Drosophila melanogaster: one gene and its partners. The protein of the gene in region 1 interacts with the protein of each later gene in a pairwise test. Each region holds a gene or a part of one and is shown on either strand. Other genes may lie near its edges.

What was found.
Region 2: the proteins of Mer (region 1) and mod interact in a two-hybrid assay, tested with the Drosophila melanogaster proteins (2 studies listed by BioGRID).
Region 3: the proteins of Mer (region 1) and sav interact in a two-hybrid assay, tested with the Drosophila melanogaster proteins (2 studies listed by BioGRID).
Region 4: the proteins of Mer (region 1) and wts interact in binary tests that used the Drosophila melanogaster proteins (3 or more experiments, as listed by UniProt).

The regions. Positions count from the first base shown.
Region 1 is NC_004354.4:19,687,093-19,695,355, reverse strand, and holds Mer (merlin), read left to right. Parts: upstream 1-1,855; 5' UTR 1,856-1,920; intron 1,921-2,106; 5' UTR 2,107-2,398; coding exon 2,399-3,055; intron 3,056-3,114; coding exon 3,115-3,324; intron 3,325-3,421; coding exon 3,422-3,658; intron 3,659-3,720; coding exon 3,721-4,524; 3' UTR 4,525-5,659; downstream 5,660-8,263. Other genes in the region: CG14229 (uncharacterized protein), read left to right, coding at 405-427, 492-789; CG14227 (uncharacterized protein), read left to right, coding at 6,431-6,662, 6,731-6,773, 6,840-7,024, 7,093-7,493. UniProt on the Drosophila melanogaster protein: Regulator of the Hippo/SWH (Sav/Wts/Hpo) signaling pathway, a signaling pathway that plays a pivotal role in organ size control and tumor suppression by restricting proliferation and promoting apoptosis.
Region 2 is NT_033777.3:32,049,153-32,056,283, forward strand, and holds mod (modulo), read left to right. Parts: upstream 1-2,907; 5' UTR 2,908-3,024; intron 3,025-3,167; 5' UTR 3,168-3,244; intron 3,245-3,328; 5' UTR 3,329-3,582; coding exon 3,583-3,825; intron 3,826-4,093; coding exon 4,094-4,403; intron 4,404-4,470; coding exon 4,471-5,205; intron 5,206-5,271; coding exon 5,272-5,612; 3' UTR 5,613-5,822; downstream 5,823-7,131. Other genes in the region: krz (kurtz), read right to left, coding at 1-717, 2,117-2,687. UniProt on the Drosophila melanogaster protein: Its capacity to bind DNA and protein(s), and its differential expression during development suggest a role in the regulation of gene expression during Drosophila development.
Region 3 is NT_033777.3:23,057,234-23,064,475, reverse strand, and holds sav (salvador), read left to right. Parts: upstream 1-3,171; 5' UTR 3,172-3,292; coding exon 3,293-4,104; intron 4,105-4,492; coding exon 4,493-5,446; intron 5,447-5,517; exon of another isoform or gene 5,518-5,519; coding exon 5,520-5,580; 3' UTR 5,581-5,867; downstream 5,868-7,242. Other genes in the region: CG17111 (uncharacterized protein), read left to right, coding at 14-194, 251-464, 523-720, 783-1,701; Ublcp1 (Ubiquitin-like domain-containing C-terminal domain phosphatase 1), read right to left, coding at 1,797-2,599, 2,657-2,816. UniProt on the Drosophila melanogaster protein: Plays a key role in the Hippo/SWH (Sav/Wts/Hpo) signaling pathway, a signaling pathway that plays a pivotal role in organ size control and tumor suppression by restricting proliferation and promoting apoptosis.
Region 4 is NT_033777.3:30,801,516-30,808,454, reverse strand, and holds the start of wts (warts), read left to right. Parts: upstream 1-1,835; 5' UTR 1,836-2,167; intron 2,168-6,939. Other genes in the region: dj-1beta, read right to left, coding at 565-721, 788-1,107, 1,171-1,257. UniProt on the Drosophila melanogaster protein: Negative regulator of Yorkie (Yki) in the Hippo/SWH (Sav/Wts/Hpo) signaling pathway that plays a pivotal role in organ size control and tumor suppression by restricting proliferation and promoting apoptosis.

The DNA of each region.
Region 1 (8,263 bases):
ACCTGCAGTAGTGTTATTATTTTAACCGCAGCTGTATTCATCGTGTCATCGTGAAGTAATTGTTGGGTATAAAATATTCTCACTTGGCGCTATTTGTCACTGAGACAACTTTTAGATTCACTTTATCCCTCCCTCCCAAAAATATTCTATTTGTTTGGATACAATATAATCTCGGTTTTCTTAACAATATCTGCTGTTTGGGTTGGCTATTTGTGATTTCCATTTAAGAAAAAACAAACCTCGATTAGCGGTATATTTAGCACAACCCATTGGTATATCCCACAGCCAATTTCGAACTTCGAGGCAGTCACACTGGTGGATGTCGCTGCTGTGAAACGGGGCAGGACAAAACAATTGACCAATAGGAACCGAAACCAACACACTGCACTGGCCCCGGGATCGGAATGGCTGGATTCCTGAAGACAAGGTAATCACCTTGACCAAGGTAGTGAGGTCCCAGCGCTAATCAAACGCACACCATTCCTCCACAGAAAGCGCAGCCGGGAGGATGAACTGGCCTGCGAGTCGCCCCTTTCGAAGCGCATCAACAACCTGAATCTGAACTACGAGGATGGGAACAGCAGCAGCAGCAGCAGCTGCAGCATTCCGCCACTGTCGGGAGGAGGAGCGACTGGTGGATCCGGCGGGTCCGATGCAGCCGGAAACGGTGTGGCGGCCGGATACGAATACAACCCAGAACTGGGAGCCGAACAAAACCCATTTTACTACGAGAAGAACAAGATGCTGTACGACCTGCATGTCGAGCGCATCAAGCGGAGCAGCCAGTAGCTAGTGATCATGGATTCCGGTGTGCGAGTCCAAGTCCTGGCACAGCCATTTAAGTGCCAACACGAGTTATCTGCAGCAACACTCTCTCTAGGTTCAAAGTAATTCGCCTCCGTTCAGTCTTCTCTGCGCACGGATTCGGATATCCGTGTCTGGAGTCACTTGCGTTTGTGTGATAAGCATTGTTTACTTGCATGGCATTAGCATCACCCCTGATGCATACACATAATAATAGTAGTATAAATTGAGCTAAGAGTCCCCCAAACACGCACATGAATATATATAAACTATGTTCATCGGTTACCATCCCTTCAATATGTATTTATAATCCTGCATGTATAATTTATTCTAAGAATAATGTAAGAAAACCTCCATATCTTTATATTTTCCTATTTCGATGAAATACGATATCCAGGGGGGTACAAGTTCATTGCTGAGTCGGTGGAGATGGAAAATAAGCTACAGGGACCTGATAAAACGAAAGCTGGACTTATTCATTGTTTATATACGCATCTGCTGACATGGTCATTTTGCTTATTCCGAGAATTTAAGCATGGACCTGCAATACAAGAATACGTCCAATAAACATTTACATAGTAATACATCTCATCCTTAGACAAATCTTTAAAACAAATATTGCGCTCAAGGACTTCATTTTCCCAATTCGTGACCATTGACAGGGTGGCAACTCTATATAGCACTGTGTTATTTTAGTTAATTCATCTTTCATCAAATAGCTGATCAAATCTATTTCGCAGCATTCAAAAATTCGTATAACTAAAAATGAGTGTACAATTTGAAAAAACATATTGCGGTATATTTTGGTATTTGGACTACCACTGTTTTGCCAGTTTTTGAAAACTTTTGGAAAATGGAAAGTTAATATATTTTTAAGGTATTTAATATGTTTTCATGTGCATATATTGACATTTCAATGCTTTATGTCGTTTGAGATGGATTAATTTAAGCATTATGATTCCTCCATAAAATTGAAATGGAATCACCCTACTAAATATACAAGGCGTCTGCCAAAGCTGATTTTTCTGCATCTAACGGCTGGTCACACTGTCTATGTTTATGTCGCGCATATCGGGAATTTGTCGTACAATTGCGATTCGCGGTGCAAACAATCGAGTAAGTTGCCTATTCTCGTACTTGGTCGATGTGGAGACCCTTCTGCCGACCCTCAATCAGCTTCCACGCCAAAGGAGCTGGGTGAGCGGTTGAATAGTGGGCGCCAGGATGCCGTGGCCACGCAGTTCTTAAATCGCAGCGCCGCATAAACGAAGAGCCTTACTCTTTCTTTCTTTCCGCTCACAGCCATCAGCCCAAATTGCCATTGCCATTGCCCGGAGCACCGAATTGGCTGCAAAATGAGGCAGTCCGCGATAGGCGAGGACCGCAGGAGCAGCAACAAGGAATCGTGCCACTAGATGGCACAGGAGCACCAGAAGGACCAAGAATCAGATTAGCAGGAGCAACAAGTCCTTTGCACGCAACAGGTTATCACGAATTGCCCACAAGAGCACTCAGTTCCCACTCCAATCCAATTGCATCTAACGCATCACATCACATTGCGTCGAATCTAATCAAAACACATCACATAATCGCGATGAGCCCCTTCGGCTCCAAGAAAAACCGATCCCTGTCGGTGCGGGTGAGCACCTTCGACTCGGAGCTGGAGTTCAAGCTGGAGCCGCGCGCCTCCGGCCAGGATCTGTTCGACCTGGTGTGCCGCACCATCGGGCTGCGCGAGTCTTGGTACTTTGGGCTGCAGTACGTCGACACCCGCAGCAACGTGTCCTGGCTGAAAATGGAGAAGCGGGTGCGCGACCAGCGCGTTGAGCTGCACGCTAGCAATAATGTGTATGTGTTTAGCTTCTACGCCAAGTTCTTTCCGGAGAACGTCAGCGAGGAGCTGATCCAGGAGATCACGCAGCACCTGTTCTTCCTGCAGGTCAAGCAGAGCATCCTCTCCATGGACATCTACTGCCGCCCGGAGGCGTCCGTGCTGCTGGCCTCCTACGCGGTGCACGTGCAATACGGTCCGTACGACTACGAGACCTACAAGGACGGTATGCTGGCCGGGGGTGAGCTTCTGCCCAAGGGAGTGACCGATCAGTACCAGATGACGCCCGAAATGTGGGAGGAACGGATCAAGACATGGTACATGGACCATGAGCCCATGACGCGCGACGAGGTGGAGATGGAGTACCTGAAGATTGCTCAGGACCTGGACATGTACGGAGTAAACTACTTTCCTATTACGGTGAGAGCCTTGATTTTCACGTGGCGCATCTGAATCTTATCGTTTGTGTTCCCCACCAGAATAAGAACAAAACCAAATTGTGGCTGGGCGTCACCTCCGTGGGCCTAAACATCTACGATGAGCGCGATAAGCTAACGCCAAAGACAACGTTCCAGTGGAACGAGATACGGCACGTCAGCTTCGACGACAAGAAGTTCACCATTCGCCTGGTGGATGCCAAGGTTTCGAATTTCATCTTTTACTCGCAGGACCTCCACATCAACAAAATGGTAAGGAGGGCAGTTGTGACAACTGAAATATGTATATGTATTTTCACTATGTTCATGTTCCCATATTCATACTACACTTGCATCGTGTGCTTTGCAGATTCTTGACCTGTGCAAGGGCAATCACGATCTATATATGCGCCGCCGCAAACCCGACACCATGGAAATCCAGCAGATGAAGGCCCAAGCCAAGGAGGAGAAGCAACGCCGCCAGATCGAACGCAAAAAGTTCATCAGGGAAAAGAAGCTGCGCGAAAAGGCGGAGCACGAGCGCTACGAGCTGGAGAAGAGCATGGAGCACCTGCAAAACGAAATGCGCATGGCCAACGATGCACTTGTAAGACTCACTCCGCCCAGTGGCTTCTGATCTATAATATTGAGTTTCTCCCTGTATCCCAGCGGCGTTCCGAAGAGACCAAGGAGCTGTACTTCGAAAAGAGTCGTGTCAACGAGGAGCAGATGCAGCTGACCGAGTGCAAGGCAAACCACTTCAAGACGGAAATGGACCGGCTGCGCGAGCGACAAATGAAAATCGAGCGGGAGAAGCACGACCTGGAGAAGAAGATTCGCGACGCCGACTTCTATGTCCACCAGCTGACGGTGGAGAACGACAAGCGGGAGGCCGAGACTGAGAAGCTGCGCAAGGAGCTGATCTGCGCCAAAATGGCGGAGCGCGAGGCCACCGCTCGCCTGCTCGAATTCCTCAACAGCGGCCGCAAGTCCTCCACGGATAGCCTGCTGACCGCCTCCAGTGTGTCGCACGCGGCGAATACGGCGTCCAGCATGGCGGCCATCAGCACACCCTCCCTGATCACAAGCAGCTCAACCAATGATTTGGAGACCGCCGGCGGCGCCGAGCTGACCACCCACTCGTCACACTACCTGGTCCAAGGTGACAACTCCAGCGGCATTTCGGACGACTTCGAGCCCAAGGAGTTCATACTCACCGACAACGAGATGGAGCAGATCACCAATGAGATGGAGCGCAACCACCTCGACTACCTGCGCAACTCCAAGCAGGTGCAAAGTCAACTGCAGACACTGCGCTCCGAGATCGCGCCGCACAAGATTGAGGAGAACCAGAGCAACCTGGACATCCTCAGCGAGGCGCAGATCAAGGCCGGCGAAAATAAATACTCCACGCTCAAGAAACTCAAGTCCGGCTCGACCAAGGCGCGTGTCGCCTTCTTCGAGGAGCTCTGACCTCCTCCGCCTCCGCCTCCTCCGTCACCTACTCCCCCCTCACCCCCGCATCCGCCGACATGACTAATACCCCATCTAGCTGTACGATACGTTACGATTTGGCGTGTGTGCCTGTGCGCGTGCTAGAGTGTATGAGTGCCTTAACCGTAGTTGTACTATATCCTACTATAACATACTATATTTAATGTTTTTCGATTGTTCGCTCAAGCCGCTGCTGTAATAAACCAATTGCAAACGTACATATGTACATACATATGTACATATATGATTTTACATTCACTTACGCACGAAAAATATTCATAAAGTAGATGGGCGATTAGATACCGTTATTTTCGGTAGAAGATATTCAACACCTTCCATGCAGTTCCACAATTCATCGCTCTTGAGAAACATCACACCCTCTCACCGACACCGACTCTCTCGAACGCGATCTCTCTCTTCCAAAAATGAAAACTAATAAACCGCAAAACAGAATCAAAGGACGATTAAAATGCGCTCAAACAACGGTGATCAATAGCGAAGATTTGGCGCTCTTTTGACTTTGTCAGTGTGTTGATACCTTCCCTGCAGTTCCCCAATTCATCGATCTTGAGAAACATCACACTCTCTCACCGACACCGACTCTCTCGCGAGCGATCTCTCTCCCAAAGATGAAAAACCATAAACCGCAAAACCCAAAACCGCTAAAGCAGCGATGAAAAAACGCTGAATCAAAGGACGATTGGCCCGTTAAAATGCGCTTAAACAACGGTGATTAATAGCGATGTTTTTGGGATTTTTTTTTCATACCGATGATTTCCTAAAACATGCCAATGTTAAAATCACCGGTAGCTTTCGTGCAAATTGTGCGGTGTTTAAGCGCTCAACATTTTTAAAAGAGCGGTGATTTACCGATTAAAAGTCGGTGACTGGAACTGCAGGCACGGATTTGTTCTAGTTAAGTCTGAATGTTAATTACGATATTCTTGAAGCTCCCTCCTATTCCGCTGAGCGTGGTCGGTTTACGGATGTTATCCCAGAGACTGTGGATGTCCATCCGATTCCATGGTCTCTTAGTTCTGTTGCCATATATTTTCTGTCAGCTCGTTTAAATACATATGTACATATGTACATACATACATACAACTATGCAAATCGGAACGAAAATGCTGTCTTCCTGCAGTGTATCCTATAGCTAAAAAAATAAAGTGGCGCAAATTAAACGATTGGATTTCTATTTATTTATTATAATTTTTCAAGATTTCAGACAAAGGAATTGCATTTTAATTGAATCTGACTATAGATATGTATGTACCTGTAGACTATAGATTATGCCTAACGTTTAACTGCAAGGGTACTTAATCCTTTAACTTGGCGTGCACGGCGTTAAAGGAAATTTCCCACTCGATATGATAGACGGATCATTCAAAGGTATAGGGTTTCAGATCCGAAGAGTACTCCGGACTCGTTCGCACCATCAGTGTATCTTTGTCTAATTCAAGATCTTCAAAGGGTGTTTCTACCCTATACACCTTGTTATGTTCCGTTATTACGCGGAGTAATTATAATAAGAGAACTTTATTTAAAGTTTAAATAACGGTAAAAACTTAATATTAGATATTAAATAAACGAAATGTCATAGTTCAAATGAAAATGTATGTTATCCATATTGATTTCTGCTATTCCATTTAATTGAGTGAATCAAAAATCCAAAATTAATCAATTTTTTATAAGAAATAAAAGTGATTAAATGTATGGATATAGATGTGGCATGTGTTCCAGCCAAAATTTCATTGAAGCACGCGTAGAACACAGCCCAATTTGCAACTTTCGCAGAAGTGAGGAACTTGCGATAAGTGAGTGTCAAATTTATATAATAAAAACCCAATGGCACGAAGTTCGGTTTCCATTCGGGCCTCGAGCTACAATGAAGAAAGTCATAGCGGCACTCCTGATCCTCTTTGCCTCTCTATTTCTCGGATCCCGAGAGGGATCGGCTTTCCTGCTCGACGCGGAATGTGGAAGGTCGCTTCCAACTAACGCTAAGCTAACTTGGTGGAATTACTTTGATAGCAGCACTGACATACAGGCCAATCCTTGGATTGTTTCGGTGATAGTGAATGGCAAGGCCAAATGCAGTGGATCGCTCATCAATCATAGTGAGTGTTTGTGCCAAATGATGAGTGTCTTATTTAGCTCACGCAAGGCTAAATTTTAACCATTCCAGGATTTGTTTTGACAGCAGCACATTGCGTATTTAGAGAAGCCATGTAAGTCCTGCCCATTCGCCAGCATATGTGGTGGTCATCAGCCCATTACCCAATCTCTCCCTGTAGGCAGGTGCACTTGGGTGATTTCGACGCCTGGAATCCTGGACAAAATTGCAGCTCGGGTGCTCGCTTATCAAACGCATACTGCGTTCGGATCGACAAGAAGATCGTGCACGCCGGATTCGGCAAAATACAAGCCCAACAGTACGACATTGGCCTACTCCGGATGCAGCATGCGGTGCAGTATTCAGGTAATTGAGTGGGAGATATCCAGTCGTTGCCCTCGAAAGTCTCAACCAGAACTGCCTTTCCCCTATAGACTTCGTGCGCCCCATTTGCCTGCTCATCAATGAGCCAGTGGCGGCCATCGACCGATTCCAGTTGACCGTCTGGGGCACCACTGCAGAAGACTTTCGCAGCATACCACGGGTGCTGAAGCATTCCGTTGGGGATCGTATCGATCGCGAACTCTGCACCTTGAAGTTCCAGCAGCAGGTGGACGAGTCGCAGATATGCGTCCACACCGAGACGAGCCACGCATGCAAAGGGGATTCCGGTGGCCCCTTTAGCGCAAAAATTCTCTACGGGGGCACGTATCGCACCTTCCAGTTTGGCATCATCATCTTCGGCTTGAGCTCCTGTGCGGGCCTAAGTGTCTGCACCAATGTGACTTTCTACATGGACTGGATCTGGGATGCTCTGGTTAACTTGTCGGCATGAGGACATAAGTTATAAGTTATAAGTGTATAAGTTATTATAAACGTTTAAGCTGCAGTAAAGATTTGGAATAGCAATTAGAAAGTACTGCTTACTAAAACTAAGCCAGAGTGGGTGAGCTGCTTTATTTCGGATGCCTTTGGAAGTAAATGAGATAGTAGAGAGTAATAGACGAGGTTGGCTATAATCTAAAACCAAAGTAGCTTTATTACGTTTTCAAACATGTGATCATTTACATTTAATTACTTTGCCTCACTTCCTTCACTAAACAAATAAACGTAGTTCCACTAGTCCACTAGCCCAACTGACCAACCAACAACCCGGCCAGCCAGCCAGCCGGCCAGCCAGCCAGCCGGCCGACCAGCCAATCCCACAGCGGACGAGCGAGGCTATGTGGTGGTAGCACTTACAGGGTATACACTGAATCCATATCTTATATAAACGGTGAGCGCGCGAAGGAAAGCTTTTCGAAAGTGTGTGTGTGTGTGATTGATCGGAAATGGGAACCCAAATGGTCGGTTATAGGTTTTATATACGAAAGCTTAGAGTAAATTACATTACAAGTTATTATTGGGGCTTCCTCTCTTTACTAAGGAGTTGGTTTTTTTTTTTTTTTTTTTTTTTTGTTTTATAGTTTTACGTCTTTTGTTAACACCTTGGAATATTTTGATATATATATATATATGTATATACATATATATATACCTATATACACACATTAACTTACAGTAGATATCGTTAGCATGCAAATCGCTTGTGTGCAACAACTTTTT
Region 2 (7,131 bases), on another chromosome or scaffold:
CAGTAGCCGATTCAGTTTCTCCGTCACTCATGCTCACTAACGGCAGACCCCCGCCTGCTAAACTAGCCCGTGGCGATCGCTCCCCTAACAGTGGATGCTCTTCCTCCTCGGGCTTAGGGTGCATTAGTGTGAATGGCAGCTCAGCTACGAGGTCACCATTTAGAAGTGGCGAGCTAATCAGCAACTTCACCTTCACCTTATAGTGGACCATAATACCGAGACTCTCACGCTGAGCAGGATTGGTAATGAGAGTGCTAGACGCCAAATTGGTGTCCTCATGCTTTAGCTGCCCGTCCAAAGCAAGGCCCCATTTATCCTTATTATTTGCCAATAGGGGGCACAACTCAAATACCTTCGAGAGTGTAAATCCCGGAGCCACTTGACATCCGTCTTCTGACTCGATTTCTGCCACTACAGATTTATATTGCGCCGTCGAAAAGAGACAAATATCCGCAAACTGCCGGACACATACCTTAATCTTTTTTACCGTCCGATTTGAGTTGTTGGCCACATGAACGTTGACCGATATTTTTTCGCCGTGGTGGTATAACTCCTTGTCCAAAGTAGCTTCCAAATGGATCTTGTTTGGCTTCATCATAAACTCCTTGCTTACTTCGATCGATGGCTGCTCACCGACTTTGGATGGTGCGTACATGACTTTGCGAATAGTTAGTCGCACCGAGTTCCGCTTGTGGGGTTTGTCCTCCACGTTCTCACCTATTAGTGATAAACATTATGAATAATGGCATCAATGTATGTATGTTTGTTGAAGAAAACCCATGACGCTCGGGTGTGTCAGTAGTCCGATTCGTTACAAAATTTGTCGTTGATGTTGAGTCTATCATGTATAGAATTCCACGATGTTTAATCACAAGCCGACAATTACTGGCATTTACATATGGATATATATATATATATATATATATATATATATTATTCATATATATGCATATACATTCATTTAATTGATCATCAATAGCATTGCTTTAAAAATACGCATAAATATATATAATTGGTTATCCCAAAAACATAAAAGCTAGGAACATTAGATACACAATTGAACAGACGCAAAGTAAATAAAAATGCTGACTCAATTGTCATGAGGGGAAGCAGAGAAGCACTGAGAAATCGTTTCTTCCAACTGTACAAATTCCAACATTGTTGTTTTTATTCTTAAATTGAATTTGGGCTTATATACAGAAAAAATAAATATTAAGTTCTTGTTATAAACTCTTTTACCCAACAACACGCCAATTGCTGCTATTTTATTAATCTCTGTTTATAACAGTAAACAATTTGGCTGCTGAATAATAATAAAATTCCAACAGAAACTATAAAAGCACAAAAATGTGTAAACAAAATAGGGCAATAGGTAATAATATTTATTGAACAGAGAATGTATTAAGGGGGTGCCACGGGCACATAATATATATGCGAGTGGAGCTCGGCGATCGTACGAAAATATGAAAAATTTAAAATTTACAGAAACCAAAAACCTTTCTACTAATAAAATAAAGCACAAATTCTTTAAACCTTTTTTTAATTATTAAATACAGATTAGAAACTAAACAAATAAACATTTTGAAACTATGTAAGATCTTTGCTGTTGGCACACAAATCGTCAGACCGCCAACTGCGGCGCCTGGTTAAGGCGAACAACAGCATTAACTGCGCTGCAACTTCGGTTGATTCAAATTCCAATTAGAAGTGTCGAATTTCAATTAGGTGAACGCTGCGTCATCAGCCCGACGTAGTTGGATTGATTAACCCTGTGTTCCCAACCGCGTGATGCACGCGCTAACTTACACAAAACCACACATATAAGAAATTTACAGTCTAACTTCTATAGAAAAGAACAAAGCTAGTTTTGCTACTGTAACCATATTCTTAATAAATTATTTTATTCTCAGAAACAATAGTACCCGCAATTTAACTGCTCTAAGGTAAAAGAAAAATTTGTAAAGAAAAAAGAAAAATTTGTAAATTTGTAAATTTAATGTATTGCAACATATATAATAAACACGGTATGTGCCACACTGCGAAATATCAATGATTTTGACTTTGACTGACCACCGTATACGGACACACCCACAAGATCAGACCCACAAAGACTCACCCACAAAGGCCTTCAGCTCGTAGTCTACTCCGCAAGACTTGCCCACATCTCCAGGAGCCGGCTGCAAGGACACAGAGGCTGGGCAATAGGGCGGAACCTCAAAATAAAACGGATGGGCGTTCGGCCCCAGCTTTTTAATTAACCTTTCCTGAAGCCGGGTCATCGGGCGGTCCAGCTGCATGGGCGGATAGATCTGCTCATGCGCCAGATACAGGTCCTTACGGAACGTTAATCCCAAAACATCTAGGTCTTCACGTCCGTACCGAAAGGCGGCAAGCACCTGGCCAAAAACCTTACGGTCCTTTACGTACTCTGGATCAATGAAGACAACACCGTCAATGGGATCCACGTGCGTGACATGGTCGACGAAGTCCCGTTTGCCAAGGTAAACTGTTATCTTGCCGTTGGAGGAGCTCTTCTTAAACACCCGAGTCGCCTGGCGTCTGGAGCTGGCATCTCCACCAGTCTCGTCGCCTGCGCTTCCGCCCCCAGTGCTCCCGGCAGCTGTTACATTGGTGCTGGAGCCATTGCTCACATTTGCTCCTCCACTTCCTCCACCACCACCGTTCATTATGTTATTTGGCGGTTATGCTTGTTATTCTGCTTTTCTGCTGTTCCTGCTTAATTGGAACTCCGTTAAATAAATATATGTGTGCGTTGCGGGACTTGTGCTGCAATTTAATTTTTTATGTGTATACTTGTTCCGCCATTTACCAGCACTGCTTGACAGTCATTGGAAAAATACCAGGGAATATTACATACTAACAAATTATGTACTTCTCTGGTATTTCAATTCAGTGCGAACAAACCGATATATGTTTGGTCGTACCATAATCGCAGCCTATAATTAATATTTATTTTGCATTTTTGGCACCTATTTATATTTCCTAAGTGTGCCCTGGCCCATAGTAAGTGACTTTTAATAATTTTTCTTTCAATACCATTAACAATTGCTTGAATTAACATTAAGTTTCCTACTAAGATAAAATGCAACTGCAGGTTGACTTGGCTTTTTAATGAAATATAATATATATATTATAAATTCCTTTAGAAACAGATGATTCATAGCTGATGATTGAGGAAACTTACCATTTGGAATGTATAAACACATGTAAAATCAGACCGTTGGTAAATATCTAATCATAGATTGTATCCTAAGTCTTAAATAAATACTTTATATAAACTGTTTAATATTTATTTTATTTTTTAAAGGCTTTTATTATTTTTATATGTATACATGTGCATGAACGGACTTTAAACCATATTTAGTAGTGGAATAGAGCTATAAAAATGAGATTGAAGTCTCTAAAATACTTTATTTAATCAGCCTTAGCACCGATAGAGCACAACGGTCACACTGTTCTGTCCCTCTTTTCCACGTGCATTTTATTGAACGAAACCACGCGTTGTTCAGTCCAAACTTGACTTTGCTAATTTTGCCCAGAAAACCTCTAAAAGCTGTCAAAATGGCCCAAAAGAAAGCCGTCACCGTCAAAGGAAAAAAAGCTACGAATGGAGAGGAAAAGCCTTTGGCCAAACGGGTAACCAAGTCCACAAAGGTACAGGAAGAGGAGACAGTAGTCCCCCAATCGCCTTCCAAAAAATCCAGAAAACAGCCTGTTAAAGAAGTGCCGCAGTTCAGTGAAGAGGACGAGTCTGATGTGGAGGAGCAAAATGACGAGCAGCCAGGGGACGACAGCGACTTTGAGGTAAGCTATAAAAAAAACGTGGTCTTCTGAATGGATATGGCTAACATTACATGCATAGTATGCACGTATATATAGATCTGCATGGATAAGAATCCATTTTACGTTTTCTTTGCCACGTGGTTGTAAAGATTTTATAATTATAAGACGAGTGCACATAACCCACGATCCTCTGGTTTTATACCGACTCGGTTCATATATCGATAAAAAAAAAATTGTCTTTATTGGTGCTCTCCCATCAGCGGTTATAAGAAAATTGTCTACTTTTCAGACCGAAGAGGCAGCGGGCTTAATTGACGACGAGGCTGAGGAAGATGAAGAGTACAATAGTGACGATGAGGAAGATGATGATGACGATGAGTTGGAGCCTGGTGAGGTTTCCAAAAGTGAAGGCGCGGATGAGGTAGATGAATCCGATGATGATGAAGAAGCGCCTGTAGAGAAGCCAGTTTCCAAGAAATCAGAAAAAGCCAACTCTGAAAAGTCCGAAGAAAATAGAGGAATTCCAAAAGTAAAGGTTGGCAAGATTCCGCTGGGAACGCCAAAAAACCAGATCGTTTTTGTCACAAACCTACCAAACGGTAAAGTAACTGGTTTATTATTTCATTTTTCAAGTATATTTAAACTTAGTATATTTGTTCCACATAGAGTATCTCCACAAGGACTTGGTCGCATTGTTCGCCAAGTTCGGACGACTTTCCGCTTTGCAGCGTTTCACTAATTTGAATGGCAATAAATCAGTTCTCATTGCCTTTGATACGTCAACTGGAGCAGAAGCTGTTCTGCAGGCTAAGCCTAAAGCGTTAACCCTTGGAGACAATGTTTTGTCTGTGTCCCAACCGAGAAATAAGGAAGAGAACAACGAACGCACGGTGGTGGTTGGCCTGATTGGACCTAATATTACCAAGGACGACTTAAAAACCTTTTTTGAGAAGGTAGCTCCCGTGGAGGCGGTGACTATATCCAGTAACCGCCTCATGCCCAGAGCTTTTGTACGTTTGGCGTCGGTCGATGACATACCGAAGGCTCTTAAACTGCATAGCACTGAGCTGTTTTCTCGCTTTATAACGGTTCGTCGGATCTCACAAGAATCGATTTCACGTACCAGTGAACTTACCTTGGTTGTCGAAAATGTGGGCAAACACGAGTCTTACAGCTCCGACGCTCTAGAAAAGATATTCAAAAAATTTGGTGATGTTGAAGAAATCGACGTTGTGTGCAGCAAGGCAGTTTTAGCTTTTGTCACGTTCAAGCAGTCGGATGCCGCCACGAAGGCTTTAGCACAACTCGACGGAAAGACTGTTAATAAGTTTGAGTGGAAGCTTCACCGATTCGAACGCAGCACCTCGGGGAGGGCCATTCTTGTGACGAACTTGACTTCAGGTGGGTTACCCGTTTCGTAAAATTGTTTAAAATTATTAATCATTATCATGTAAAATTTCGTTGTAGATGCTACTGAAGCCGACCTGCGGAAAGTGTTTAACGATAGCGGCGAAATCGAAAGCATCATAATGTTGGGCCAAAAAGCGGTAGTAAAGTTCAAGGACGATGAGGGTTTCTGCAAATCTTTCTTGGCTAATGAAAGCATTGTAAACAACGCCCCTATATTTATTGAGCCAAACTCTCTGCTGAAGCATAGATTGTTAAAGAAACGCTTAGCTATTGGTCAGACCCGCGCCCCGCGGAAGTTCCAAAAGGACACTAAGCCAAACTTTGGTAAAAAACCATTTAACAAGCGCCCGGCACAAGAGAATGGTGGTAAATCGTTTGTTAAAAGGGCAAGATTTTAGAACTTGAACACTACAAGAATTAGCTTTAAGTTGCGTAGTACCATAAATACGGCCACAGCCCCGATAATTCCATACAACTTGATGTTATGGATTTAGTTGATAAGAGATACTCCATTAAATTTTTACCGGAGAAATGCTAGCCGTATTCAAGCAGATGTCGATTTTTATAAGCATCGGACATGGAACTAAATAAAAGTAAATAAAAACCCCGATAAGAATTTTGTATTCAACGTCTTGGTTTTGGGTAACTAGATACTTCAAAAAACGATTTACTGCTTATATGAACGTATACAGGTGCGATCTCCAGTATATTCCGTTTTTTTTTTTGTGTTTGAATTTTATCTCGCTTCGGTACTCTCGTATATAGGTTCCTATCCCTTCCAAATGGCCCAATGTACAGCTGCGCTTGTTCAAAAAGCGAGAACTATATGAATTTCCTTTGTATAATTAATTTATTAGTAATACATTTTTGTAGTATTTTATAATTTTTTGAATTTTTTTGTTCATACTCAGAAATCTAATATGGTTGGCTAACATATGTATAAACTTGTAAATGTTTGTATGTATGTTTATATTTTTTGTAAATGCCATTTAGATTAGTACTTTAAATTTCAGTAATTGTTGGTTCAAAAAATTAGTTTATCCTTTTTATGTGTAAATATGTATAAAAAATCATCACTTGGATAAAAGCAACGTATAGGGAGTTTAGCCAACCTAAAAAAAACCCTTTCGATTAGGAATTTCCCAATCACTCTGTTTATATATAGTTCGTTCAAGCTACAAAAAACTGTGCTCGTGACGCGTTTGGCTTACTGACAAGTTTTTGTGTGTTATATGTAAGTCTCTGTCTCATGTTGCTTTTGACCTTGTTTTATAAGAAATATAATATCGCTATCGTAATATAGCTTAGGCAGAAAATCACTAATAAGGCAAATTAAAGTGAAGGGCACTGTGTGGGACTTCTGAAAATACATAATGCAAACAAGCTTACTATTTAAACTTGACAACTTATATATCTCAGAGTTCGTTTAAGCCGTGCATAACTCATATACGTTGTATAGGCAAATTATAAGCCCTAGAATATTACTTTTTTTAGATATACTTTCACGAGAGCTTTTTCTTTCATGACGAATTGAAGTAGGTGACACTATCTTTCACAAAGCTTATAAAATTATGCCTACACAAAGGATAAAAGAATACAAAAATAAAACAACTGAAAGATTTTTAAAATATTTCTTGTTATTTTTATATAATTGTAGTATTGTATTAAACAGACAAATAAAGAGCGTATAAGTGTGCTGGAGATACATTCAGTTTTTTGATCCATGTGGCATAAACAACAAATTATAAATAATAATACATTTTTAACTGAGTCACAAAAAAATATAAGTCAAACGAAATAAAATATGAAATGGAAAACGTTTTAAAATTATAAGAAAACACTGGGTAAAAGCTTTTCCTCGTTTAATATTAGTACTGAACATGTTTATAGTGCTGCTCAATTTCCACATTATTAAAT
Region 3 (7,242 bases), on another chromosome or scaffold:
CTCCGTATTGCAGTGTCAGGCGATGTGCTCCCACGAGGCGAAGTTCTACTGCCAGGGTGTCTCCTTCTACTATGTAAACCAACTCTCGCTGTCCGAGTGTCTCCTCCACTCGGAGGACATTGTATCCCTGGGTCCGCGAAGCCTGAAGCTCCGTGAAAACTCGGTGTACATGCGGAGGGTCAAGTGCCTGGATGGTAAGATCTTCTGGGGATGTGGTATGCTCAATCTTAATCGATTCCTTATTCCGCAGTCCGGGTTTTTTGCACCCGCGATGAGATGACCATTAAGTACAATCCCAAGGACTGGTTCGTCGGCAAGATCTATGCCAGCATGCACTCCAAGGACTGCCTGGCCAGAGGATCGGGCAATGGGAGTGTTCTGCTGACGCTCCAGATCGGCAGCGAGGTAAAGGAGAACCGCTGTGGCATCCTGCGTGCCTACGAAATGACACAGGAATACCAAAGGTAAGATGAAGTCCAATGTCCAGTCCATTTTTTTAATTATATCATTTGCATTATTTAGAACGTTCATATCTGCTCTGGTGGTCATCCAAAACAATCCAAATGTGCAAACCCAGGGCGACCGGCTCATCAAGGTTGGCTGTATACAGAGCAATGCCACCACATCGCTGGGCGTTTCGGTTCGGGACAGCAGTGTGGATAGCTCAGAGCCTGTGCCCAGCGCCATTGCACTGGAGTCCTCATTGGAGTACACAGAACAGTGAGTGTATTCTTAATAGAATCCCTCAAAATGCTTAATTCTATCACAATCGATACCTGCAGCATGTTCCCACACGAGGGTGTGGTTCACTACAACAGCAGCACTGGGCCCCATCCGCATCCCAGCATCTCGCTTCAGATTTTGGATCTATCCCACCAGCACGAGACCAACGACGTGCAGATTGGACAGAACCTGGAACTACAGATTGTGGCGGAGTACAGCCCACAGCAGTTGGCAGAGCACATGGAGTTGCAGCTGGCACCACTACCCGACTTTCGTGCTACCTCGCTGGTGGCCAAGACAGCGGACAATGAGAACTTTGTGCTGCTGATCGACGAGCGAGGATGTCCCACAGATGCCAGTGTGTTTCCCGCTTTGGAAAGGGTACACACAGCCAGCAGGAGCATGTTGCGCGCTCGCTTCCATGCCTTCAAGTTCTCAGGAACGGCCAACGTAAGCTTCGATGTAAAGATTCGCTTCTGCGTGGAGCGCTGCTCGCCCAGCAATTGTATTAGTTCATCCTGGCAACGGAGAAGGCGACAGGCTGACCAACCAGATCGTAGACCGGAAGACCTACGAGTTCAGAACCCCGTGTACATCTCCACGGTGGTGGATGTGGCTCCGCAACCAGACAACTTTACCAGATCGCAGGAGGAATTGCCCCTCAACTACAATATCCGGGTGCACGGTCCGGACCAGAGCAACACCAATAGTTATCTGTACGGCGAGCGGGGAGTGCTGCTCATTGCTGGCATAGACGACCCGCTGCACCTGGATAACGTTTGCATCAACCAGAGCCTGCTGATTGCACTGTTCATCTTCTGGCTGATCTGTCAAGTTGCCCTGCTCTTCGGCTGTGGAATGGTGCTGCAGCGCTACCGCCGGCTGGCCAAGCTCGAGGATGAGCGACGCAGGCTGCACGAGGAGTACCTGGAGGCGAGGAGAGTCCACTGGGCGGATCAAGGCGGATACACACTCTAATTGACGGCTGGAACGCAATGCGTATAAAATGCATCTTAATTTAATAAACATAAATCTAACATAAATCTAACAAATGTTTGCAACCGAGGATAAGTTCAGGAGTTCTTCTTGGGATGGTAGTGCTCCCACTTGCGATGGTTTAGCGAATTGAAATCCGGGCAGTGGTGAGCGATTTTGCGCAAATAGTCGGACAACTTGAGCAGCTCGGTGTCCGTGCCACGGTTGAGATGAGCCTGACGGAATGGGCGGATCTTTAGGCCGGACTTTGGGTTCATAAGGAAGTTGCGACGGATGTCATCAAACATGATAGTGTTGCTCGAGTTGTATTGCTTGTACAGGGCCCAGATTACACCAAGCGGCTTTACGTCCACCACACCGCGCTCCGGCACATGAACTGATATCATGGCGGTGGAGTCCAGATAGAACATCACCTTGTAGTTATCGTTACTGGCCACGCCCAGCAGGCGCATCTTTTCCTCGATCCAGCGCATGCTGGTGGCGGACCAGATGACAATGTCGTAGTCCTCGTAGGCGGAAGTCAGAAACTCGTGCAGATACGGACGCATTAGCTCCGTGCCTGTTTCAGCAGGCGATCGGTGATCGAATAGGGTATAGTCTATGTCCAGGACAAGCAGCTTCTTGCCCTCACGCGGCGGCGCTAACTCCTTGATCTTGTAGTCTCGCACACGACGCTGCACCTTGGCCAAATAGACGGCGGAGTGCTCCACGGACTCTTCGCGTTCATCGGCGTCATCGAAGTCGTCGACCACTTCGCCAATATTATCGGGCAGGCTGCACGCATCCTCGATATCGGCCTCTGTGGAGCCCACCATCATAAGCTTAAAGTTGGGCTTCAGCTCCAAAGCGCTGATCTTCACATTGTCGGCTGCTGTCTTTCCTGCAAGTCATTGGATCTTAAAACTGAAATATCCCGAAGCCTAGGAGTGTCACGCACCTTTGTACTTCAGGTTGAGCAGCTTTTGACGTTCCGGACGCACCTGTGTCTTGCGGAATATCTCGTGACGCAGCACTTCCACGGTGTCCTGGTCGGTGAGGTCCACCGGGTACTCCTTACCACTCCATTTTACAATCACTACCACTTCTTTGACCTCCATCTTAGCTGGTTTCTATTCCGCTATTAATTTATCACACCATATATGGTAATGTATGTTTGTTGGATAGAATCCAGCAAGTGGTTTGCAATAGTGTACCTTAAAGATATTAACTAATTTATTAGAAGACCATATAAACAGTCGAGTTGTCAGAAGTCGATAGATACTATCGATTGCAACGCCCGGCGTTATCGATTGCAATCGGCTTGCAATAAAAATAATGATTTTTTGATTATATTTTTCAGAGATTATTAAAAAATATTTTAAATTTTTTAAAATTATATATTTAGCAATTAAAGAAAGTCATGCAAAGACATGAGGAATGTCCCCAAGTTGCCAATAGGCGATTGTTTCGCCAGTTCATTGGCCACACTGGTCACCAGCTGAAAACACAAAAACCGATCGTACAGCATAAATTTAGCTCGAAAATGGACTAAACAAAGACAGCGATCCGGAATCCGAGCGGAAACATAGTCTGCATGAACTATCTAACGATCCTGCTGTGCAACCGAAAACCGACGATGCTCTCGCGCCGGAACAAGGAGAAGTCCCAGCACAAGGAGGGCGTGGTGGGGAAGTACATGAAGAAGGACACCCCACCGGATATTTCGGTGATCAATGTGTGGAGCGATCAGCGGGCCAAGAAGAAATCGCTGCAGCGCTGTGCGAGCACCTCGCCCAGCTGCGAGTTCCATCCGCGCAGCTCGAGCACCAGTCGGAACACCTACTCCTGCACGGACTCGCAGCCGGACTACTACCATGCTCGACGAGCACAGAGCCAGATGCCCCTGCAGCAGCACTCCCACTCGCATCCTCACTCTCTGCCCCACCCCTCCCATCCGCATGTGCGTAGTCATCCTCCCCTGCCGCCCCACCAGTTCCGCGCCAGCAGCAATCAGTTGAGTCAGAACAGCAGCAACTACGTTAATTTCGAGCAGATCGAGCGGATGCGCCGTCAGCAGTCGTCGCCACTGCTGCAGACCACATCATCGCCGGCGCCGGGAGCCGGAGGATTCCAGCGCAGCTACTCCACCACCCAGCGGCAGCATCATCCCCATCTGGGTGGTGACAGCTACGATGCAGATCAGGGCCTGCTAAGCGCCTCCTATGCCAACATGTTGCAACTGCCCCAGCGGCCACACTCGCCCGCTCACTACGCCGTCCCGCCGCAGCAGCAGCAGCATCCACAGATTCATCAACAGCACGCCTCGACGCCGTTTGGCTCCACGCTGCGGTTCGATCGAGCTGCCATGTCCATCAGGGAGCGACAGCCCAGGTATCAGCCAACTAGGTAAACTGCCTCTTGAAGTACTATATTTGAATAGATAGCGCGCGATTGATAAAGTGGGTAGAGATAATATGAGCAGCTCTTGATTAAAGGAATAATCCGTAAAAACTACATATTGTCAAAAAGTGCTTAATATTATTATAACTTTTAAACAATGACAATGCACGAAATGTTTTATTTTCGAAACATTTATTGTTCAAAGATTTTTTATTTGATAACAGATTGCTTTATTTATTTACAATAAGAAAAGTTGATGTACAAAACCGGTTTCTACTCGCCTTACAATAATTAAAACAATAACACAATATATGATTTTCTGTACGAGGAATATAATGGAATATATATGATATATACAACATTTTTAAACACATTTTCTCTTCTGTTTCCACAGCTCTCCGATGCAGCAGCAACAACAACAACAACAACAGCAGCAGCAGCAGCTGCAGCACACACAACTGGCAGCTCACCTGGGCGGCAGCTACTCCAGCGATTCGTACCCGATCTACGAGAATCCGTCCCGCGTCATCTCGATGCGCGCCACGCAGTCGCAGCGATCGGAGTCGCCCATCTACAGCAATACGACGGCCTCGTCGGCCACGCTGGCCGTGGTTCCGCAGCATCATCATCAGGGTCACCTGGCGGTGCCATCTGGAAGCGGGGGAGGATCCCTGAGCGGCAGCGGTCGTGGTGGCAGTTCTGGCAGTGTTCGCGGCGCCTCTACCTCAGTGCAATCACTGTACGTCCCACCGCGAACTCCGCCCAGTGCGGTTGCCGGAGCGGGAGGCAGTGCCAATGGGTCGCTGCAGAAGGTACCATCACAGCAATCGCTCACGGAGCCCGAGGAGCTGCCTCTGCCGCCCGGCTGGGCCACTCAGTACACGCTACACGGTCGGAAATACTATATTGATCACAATGCGCATACCACGCACTGGAATCATCCGTTGGAGCGCGAAGGTCTGCCGGTGGGCTGGCGGCGGGTGGTGTCCAAGATGCATGGCACCTACTATGAGAACCAGTATACCGGGCAGAGCCAACGTCAGCATCCATGCTTGACCTCCTACTATGTCTACACGACGTCTGCGGAGCCACCGAAAGCGATTCGACCAGAGGCGTCGCTCTATGCCCCACCCACGCACACTCACAATGCACTGGTGCCGGCCAATCCCTATCTGCTCGAGGAGATCCCCAAGTGGTTGGCCGTCTACTCGGAGGCGGACTCGTCCAAGGACCACCTGCTGCAGTTCAACATGTTTAGCCTGCCGGAGCTGGAGGGCTTCGACAGCATGCTGGTGCGGCTCTTCAAGCAGGAACTGGGCACCATCGTGGGCTTCTACGAGCGCTACCGGTAAGTGAGCGGCCACATGCCGCTGCATTCTCCGCTCTCCGAAAAGCCACTACTCTCTTGTTACACCTTTCAGTCGCGCTTTGATACTCGAGAAGAATCGACGCGCCGGCCAGAACCAGAACCAAAACCAGTGACCCGGTGACCAGGTGACGACTGACTCAGACCACATACTCGCCAGCAGCTATATGCACATCATAGTGCTCCTGTAATCGACCTTTAACTTATTTAACCATCGACTCATCGCGAAATCAGTGCCTTATACGAAACCAGACGAGATGGTAGCCAAGCAGATCCATGACAGTTCGAATGCCTTGATGAAACGTAGAATTGTGCTACGTTCTATATAACCTTAATGTGATTTGAGCTTGGCGTTTGTTTGTAATGTGAGCAAAGAAAATTAAACTGGTTTACTGATCATCTTACCTGCCGAGCGCAATTGTAATCGATGTGCCACCTGAAACCCCACAGGTATTTAACCTGGGAGTCCGATTCATCGACGGATGTTTTGGAAATTCAGCGCCGCGAAGTGTAAATAAAGGGCAACAGTTGGTGGCCAAGTCTTACTCGACTTGGCTTGGCACATATTTCCGAGTTCCATGCCAAGTTTTCGATTCGCTTGCAAAAATTATGCATTGGGCACAAGTGAATCGTGGCCGATTCTGTATTGGCAAAAAAAAAAACAGCGCTCCAATAGAAAGTGAATCTTATGTTTGTTTTCGTTTGGCTATGCTTATTTTTAGTCGAACCTGATAATTCATTCAGTCGCCTCTTATCGAATGCTTATAAAACTTTATAGTCACTGTTTCTGCAGGTCCCTCAAAAACAGTTTCTACTGCTGATAAGAAGTTTTCGAAGTCTGGGGAGTATTCGGCATTGGAAAGGCCAAAAGTTGTGTTTTATTATATTTTGAACATATTAAACAGGATACATAAAACGAGAGTTTTAGATTGTAATTACATTTGTCATATCTTTTGCTAAATTGATAAGTAAACAGAAAATATGACTCGATGGATATTATTGACTAATAATATATATTTAGGGGTTTGGTATGATTACTTTGTACTGTGAGATACAAGTTCGTTTGTCCCACAGATACTTTTCAATTCATAGCTTATCCTACAGATACATTTCAATTCATAGCTTATCCCGTAGATACATTTCCATTCATTGCTTATCCCACAGATACATTTTAGCATATTTTTTTTGAAATTTGAATTTGAAAAAAAAGTGTTTTTTTTTTTTTTGTTTTGAGAACTACTCGTCTTGTCAAAATATTTAACTGTTCCCGACTGAAGTGCCCACCTTTTCGGCCGCCGGGTTCTCAAGTGCAAAAATAATGTATAATAAAAAGCCAAGATACGTCGGCGGTCCGCTCTCGCCCCACTTGTTGTTGCTGCTGCCGCTGGTGCGTCGCTGCCGCTGCCGCAGTCGACGTCGACTCCATCGCTCCAATATTTAAACGGATCCATTGGATCGCGCACTCAGTCGCACTGGAGAGTCGCCATCGCAGCCATCATCATAGCATTCCATTCCACTTGTAGCCATCGGCAGTCGCTCAATCGTCAGTTGGGACACATTATTTAACTTCATTCTTAACGTGAGTGAATTGATGTGTTGGGTGGCGATCATGCATATAGCATAGGCAAACAACTGTTCTAATCCGCATTATCTTAATCACAATAATCCGGCGGCTTATACAGATGTTTTGCGTTAGCAGTTGGCGGCTAAAAGCCTCTGCTTGCCCACATGCCAGTGAAAGTTCTAATCCGGCTCAAACAGACGCACAACAAGCGTAT
Region 4 (6,939 bases), on another chromosome or scaffold:
CTTTCAGCTATTTTTAAAATTTTACAATTAAATGCAGCAGAATGTTTAATCAATGTAAATATTGAATATAACTAAATATATTAATAATGTACTATTTTGTAAATATATCGTCAGCAATACTTCCATTTGGCTTCACATCCCATTTTAATATATGCATTTTTAATTTCATTTATAGTCCAGTCATAACCAAATGAAATAATATAGATGTTTCTTTTTTCATGCCATATATGCATTTATATTTCATGACAAATTAAATTAAAGCCCATTGAACAATTTATTTTAACGCAGTTCAGTTGATTCATTATGATAGAATTATACTTCGCTCAAAACTAATTAAATGAAAACCGTTTGCTTCAAATAATGACATTTAAATTCACTTAAATAAATTTCTTTAATATATCTTTAACAACATGCCATTTCCTAGCTCTCCATTTAAACTTCTTTCAAATAGCAAATATAAAATTGAATCACAACTTCTGTCTTGAATAATTTTATTTTAATTCAGTTGTTGTTTGCATGAGTTGCTCTTGAAACAATCTGTTTTCATAAATAAGTGTAAATATGTTAGTTGTAGGCCACAAGAAGACCCTTGGCCACCTCCTGGACTTTCTCCTTGCCCGCCAGCTCCTCGGCGATTTTGAGGGCGAACTCGTAGGCGGTGCCAGGACCTCGACTGGTGATCAGATTGCCATCCTTGACCACCGTCTTGTCGTCCACATAGCTTAAAGAAATAATCAAAAGAAATGGGATGAAGATCATGGGAAAATAAACTTAAGAGGTGGTATACCTATAGTTATTCACCAGCTGGGGCTTCATTGAGGGATACGAGGTGAGGGATTTCCCGGAGGCGACGCCGTGCTTGGCCAAAACGGTGGGCGCGGCACAGATGGCGGCGATGAGTCCGCCACCAGACTCCTGGCTGCGCAGCAAGTCACCGACCAGCGAGGACTCCCCCATGGCATTGGAGCCACCCAGTCCGCCGGGCAGCACCACCACATCGAACTTATCCGAGGCAACCTGGGCCAGCGAGGTGTCCGGCAGGATCTGCACATCCCGCGAGCACTTCACCGCTTCCCCGCCATTCAAACCGGCTACGGTGACCTTGATCTATCATATAGTAAGTATAAGTATAGAACAGAGTGATTTAATGGAAAGGTTGAGAGCACTTACGCCCGCCCTTCTCAGAACGTCGGCGGCTATGATGAACTCCATCTCCTCCGCTCCGGGAGCCAAAATCACCAGCGCGCTTTTCGACATCTTGGTAAACTTAGAAAAGTGCCTTGAAATTTGAGGAAATCCAAAGAAAACCATGCAGATACGATAGCTTATCGATAGCGCTGTTCTGGAACGCAGCTTTGAGTTTTCCTTATCGAGGTTTCAAAAACTGAGCGGCAAACTAAAACACTTGTATAATTTGGTTTGACTTGCAGTTAGGCGACTAATTTGATGCATTTAAAACTTCTGTTTTTCACAGGAAGTTAATATTTTCATTCTTACTCAAAACAATGTTCTGCATTATATTTTAAAATATTAAGACTTTGAAATCAGTTGATTTTATTTATATGAGAAAAGGATTGCGTCTATGCTACGTGCTACACAGAAATGGTTTGAAACCTCATTAACAATTCTAACAAGTCTTGTTCTTTAAGTTAAAACCGATAACATTTACTTGCTCTCTATATTCTGTCGTATTACATAAATTTATATAAACTGATCACTGAAATATTTTTATATTTGTTTTCAGTATAATATCGATGTTTATATACCACGGTCAAATCCTATCGATACCTGATGTGGTTGCCAGACCAAGTACAGCTGCTCCTCCCTAGATCTCTGTCTATCGATATCGGTCTATCGATATGTGAACATATCTAGCACGACGGCAGCAACAAAACCACGAATTAATTTTACTAAATTTAAGCCAAACGCGCATCGGAAATGCCTGAAAAATGCGATTGAATGCACGCGAAAAGTGATGGGTTGCGAACGCGAGTGAATCAAGTGAAAATACGTCGGCAAATATCAGCGAATTGTCGTCAAAAGGCAAGGAAAAACGGAGAAAAAGAGGAAAAGCAATAAGTGCCGTGTGTGGGAAACGCGAAAAAGGCGAGAACAAAGAGGCGAAAAGCGAGGAAATTGCGTGGAAAACGTGGAAAACGCGAAGAAGGTAATTGCGGAAAATGCCTGGTGAAAATGCAACGTTTGCAGCTGGAATTTGCGTATCTTCCAGTCCAAAAAGAAAATGCAATATCTGTTGAATGTGTGCGAGTGTGTGTGTGTGTAAGCCAGTGCGTGTGTGGCTGCGCTGGTGTGCGCCCCATGTGTGTGTTGGTGTGCATTTCCAATTGCCTGTGTGGAAAAGCAAGGAAAACTGCACGGAAAACGCACGAAAAGCAATCAAAAATGTGCGGAAAAGTGCCTGAAAACGAAATGCGAAGCACACACACAAATGCAACAGGCTGTATTTACATATTTCGCTCTCGCTCTCTCGTGGAATAAATCAGTACGGCTGCGTGCGAGTGTGTGTGTGTGGGGGAGAACGGAGGAGACAAAGAGAGCGAGCGAGAGGTTGCTACACAAATCGGATTAAATTCTTCTGTCTTCCCTCTCTTTCTGGCGGAGGGTACTGGTGTCCATGGAAAACTATCAATCTCGTAGAATTTTTAACTTTATTCCAGTGTAATTTCGAATGCCAACGACATTAGGCAAGGTCAATGTATGCACGCACTTTTCTCGGTTTTCCCGTTTCCTCTTACCATTTTCCAACTGAAACAGCGCTTAATTGGCTGCGATATTCGTGTGTCGAAAGAATTACAAATTCGAGAAATCAACAAGACATTAAACAACGAAAACTGAGAGTAGTACAATTAGAGTAACAGCAATAACAATAATAATAGTGGTAATTGCGGGAATACAAGGAAAACATGGCGAAAACGGAGCAAGATTTGAATACAGTGAAGATCTACTAAAAGAAACTGCGAGGACTATTGTAGAATTGTGATATTTACTATAAAGGAAACTTTTGAATCATTGCAATTTGAAACTATGAAAATATTCCAGTTAGAAACAAATTTAATTTTCATATTTGATGGACTTAAGCAAAAAGAATGAGTCATACACAAATATCTAATAATCACAAAATGCTACTTTGATATGTAACAATAACCCCCACATATGGATATGAAATGGAAGAGCATATTCTTCATTAACCCACATAGGCAGAAGCCACTGTAGTCATAGCAGAGATCAACTTTGTGACAGTATGCGCGGTGTTGATGCAACCGTGGGCAGCAGCTGCCTCCGATTTGCATGTGACTAGAGTACACAATCAACGGAATGGGGAAAATCCGCGGGAGCAGAACAGTAAATGCACAGACGCAAGATGCAAATGCGAAATGTGGCACAAGTAACTGCGGCCCATTGTAATTTGTAATTAGAGGCAGCGCCGCCACTTCAATGTCAGTGCGACAATAATTTCTCAGGCGGCCCGTTTGTGCTCGCGAAAAAGCAAAAGCACGAAACACGAAGCACAAAGCAAGAAACGAAGGGGCGGGACATCGAGACCTCATCCTTTGTGGAGGCAGCCAGCCGAAAATTCATAAACTTAATTGCAATGAGATGCAGAATGTGTGTGACACAGCTATCTGTAGTTTGAATACTCTTTAGTAGCTAAAACTAGCAGCAACTTTATTGAATGGTTTTATACTTGCCATCAAAAGCAGACTTCAGTTCTACATACACTATTTTGTATAGAATGGAAGTAAACCATCGATTCTCTATCGGATTTCCAAATATTATGGTACACAGCTATGATATAAACAAGCCCACAAAACTTGCAACTGAAATCGAAGCTAAAGTCCAAAAAAACGACTCCGAAATGTGCAAAACTTTGTTGTTGCAGTCACTAGTGGGACGGACTACTACTATTACTACTACTACTACTGCTACTATTGTTGTTTTTGTGCTTGTTGGCGATGTTGCGATTGTTGTTTTTGCTTAAAACCAGCAAACAGCGGCGTCATCGTCAGCGACGCTGGAAAATCGCTGGGATTCCATTCACATTCCAGCATGCAATTCGCAGTGGATTATGTGAGTGTGTTGTTGTTTGTTGCTGCCTTTGTTGTAGCTGTTGTTGTAGTTGTGATAGTTGTTGTTGCTGCTGGAACAGGTGAGGCTCCATTGGCGTCGATCGTGTGCATTCCACAGAGCACACAGAGACACACACACACACGCGCGCGCATATAGCCAACGAGCAGAGAGCAGGGCAATAAATACCAATACAGTGGGCTGTTTTTGCTGTTGTTGCTCGCTTTTAAAAGTAAATGAACGATAAAACAAGAAAAGGAAGAGGAAGTTTGGCGCGGGGATTGTGACGACCATAGGGATACCCCGCAGAAAGTGTAGAACGCAATGGAGCATAGTGCTATATGGATTCCAGTGTAATCTTTAAACGATTAAACTCTTTTCAATGAAATGATTTTTGATACAAATAAAGTTAACGGATACTGAGCATCCTAGTTCCTAAGTCACATTGAAGAATTTTAGGCTATTTTCCCAAAGACCGTATATCCTAAGCTTGTGAGGGTGTTCGCTGATCTTGGGCTAATCCCAATGAAAATCCCCAACCCCCTGGAATTTTCCGCACCCCTTCTGCGCCCCTGTTTCGTTGCAATGCAAGTCGAGCGATGTTGACGACGAAAATGCAATTTAGCTCGTTTTTCTTGCTTGCTTCGATCCCCGCCCCCTTTTTGCCGACCACCTCCAGAGAGTGTGTGTGTGTGTTTGTGTGAGAGAGTGTATGAAAAAAGGGAAAACGAAACGAAAACAGAGAGATGGAGAGCGAGCGGGAGAAAGAGAGCAAGAGCAAAGGCGACCCAGCAGCAGCCGCCGACCCGCCCCCTTTTTTCCGCCTGCTGCCTCCCCTTTTCCGCCTCTGATCTTCTTCTCAGCAGGCTGTGGAATGCGCATTTTTGCAATAATAATCAGCAACTAATACTATTTTTATCTTCTGCCCTGACGCGTCGCACACTTCTTCGCCTGCCTGTGTGTGCGTGTGTGAGTGTTTGCCCCCTGCAGCGTGATTCTCTCTCTTCCTCTTTCACTCCCTCTCTCGCTCTCGCTCGCTCTCATTTGGAGGCCCGTAATTCCCTTGGGATTTCGGGATCTGTGGTTCATTACTACGCTTTCGTAATCTATCGGGTGATAAGTTATCAAAGTTGAAGGTAGATTATGGGTCAAAATCACATTTCTAAACAAATTAGTATAAACAACAGTCTATTTTCAGTGTGAAAAACACGTAAGAAAAACCAAGTGAGACTTTGTAGTTTCTGAAAAAGTAAACCCAAGTCAAAATGTGGTTACAAAATGGCAATTAAGTTAATCCCAAAGATACATGCAGCTTTTAGTAAATCTGTGTACACAGTGTAGTTCTCAGGTGATTAAACACCTTACAGGTGTCAAAGTAAACGCAATCTGAACAACGTAAATATGCAGTCCTAGTTTGCGAAAGTGATTAGAGTCTATTGCTCCAGAAAAGCGTTACACAGCTCGAAAAAAAGGGGTAAATATGAGTTCCAGAGATTTGGAAAATGTGTAAAACTAACGAGCCATCAACTATCTCAATTAATGCTAAATGTGAAATTCTGCCTAAGCGAAAATAGGAAATAAAAGCCATTTAGATATCGCTTTAGATACGAAGCGGCACTCGCCCTTTCATGTGGAGGCACAACTTTGGACGCAATTAAACAATTAAAGATTCCCATGGCGTAGCCGCTTAATAACGCATCTAAATCAAAATATTTCAGCAGAGTGCGTTGGAGGAGGGTGTGGAGAGGGGAAGGGGGGGCAGACTGGCGTGGATTGCAAGTGAATTGGATGTTTGGATTGTTAATTAGTTATTGGATACTACGAGCACACAATCCGGCCGTCTATTTGCGCAAAAATACTGAGCGGTATGCGTGGAATGCGAATGTTTCCCAACTTGGCACCAAAACATATCTACATATATACAAACATATAGCCACCATAGTTATATAGTCCGCCAGGGCCGATCTCTGTTGACACTCGGATTTGGCGCGTGGGGCCGAGATGTTTACCCACCCGGGATCCATATGCTCCGGCGACTTGTTATCATCTATGGCTTGTGTGCTCAACCCCGGCCAAATTCGCATTCCTTGGCAAAAGCTAATAGAGCGGAATTAAAGTAAAGAAGCAAAACAACAATACAATTTTGTCAACAGAATAATTAAAACTCATGTTTCGCCTTGCCATTTCGTGGCTCCCAGCTTTTTATGTTCGACTGAATTTACAGGGCAATCAAAACGCTGTTTGCGGATCAAGGCACCGAGTCATTAGTGTTTTTGGATGTCGGCAGATGTCCATGGCTCATTATCTCCGGATATATGTATGTACACATATTTGTGGACACGAGTGTGCTGCAAGGCATGTCAACTGTTCGGTGCGCCAACTTTATGAAGCCATCAATATGGGGGCACTGCTGTTCTAGGCCAACAAATATTCGAGATACAACCGACAATACAAAATGGAATAGAACAAATTCATTAGAATGCAATCGAATCTGTATAGTTGGATAGTATTCCCTCCTGCAGGGTATCATGCACTTCGATCAACCGCTGCGTTTCCCTTCCTCATTTGCACTTGGCACAAATTCGGCGAAATTCCGTGTTTGTTTACACATCTATCTGTCGATGGCTATTTCATAGTCAGGTGCGCACGCCACTCCCTCCGCTCCCCTCGAGCTCCACCTCCCCCCCCACACACACACACATATGGATACACGCATATAGTGTGAACTTAATGGTTCGTCATAAAATTGGGTTTGTTTTTGCGTTGCCGGGGGATTTTTGTTTCGTTTACATTTCCCCAGAATTCGAAACATGACATAAGAGCATAATTTATGTGCACCCCCACCTTTTCGCA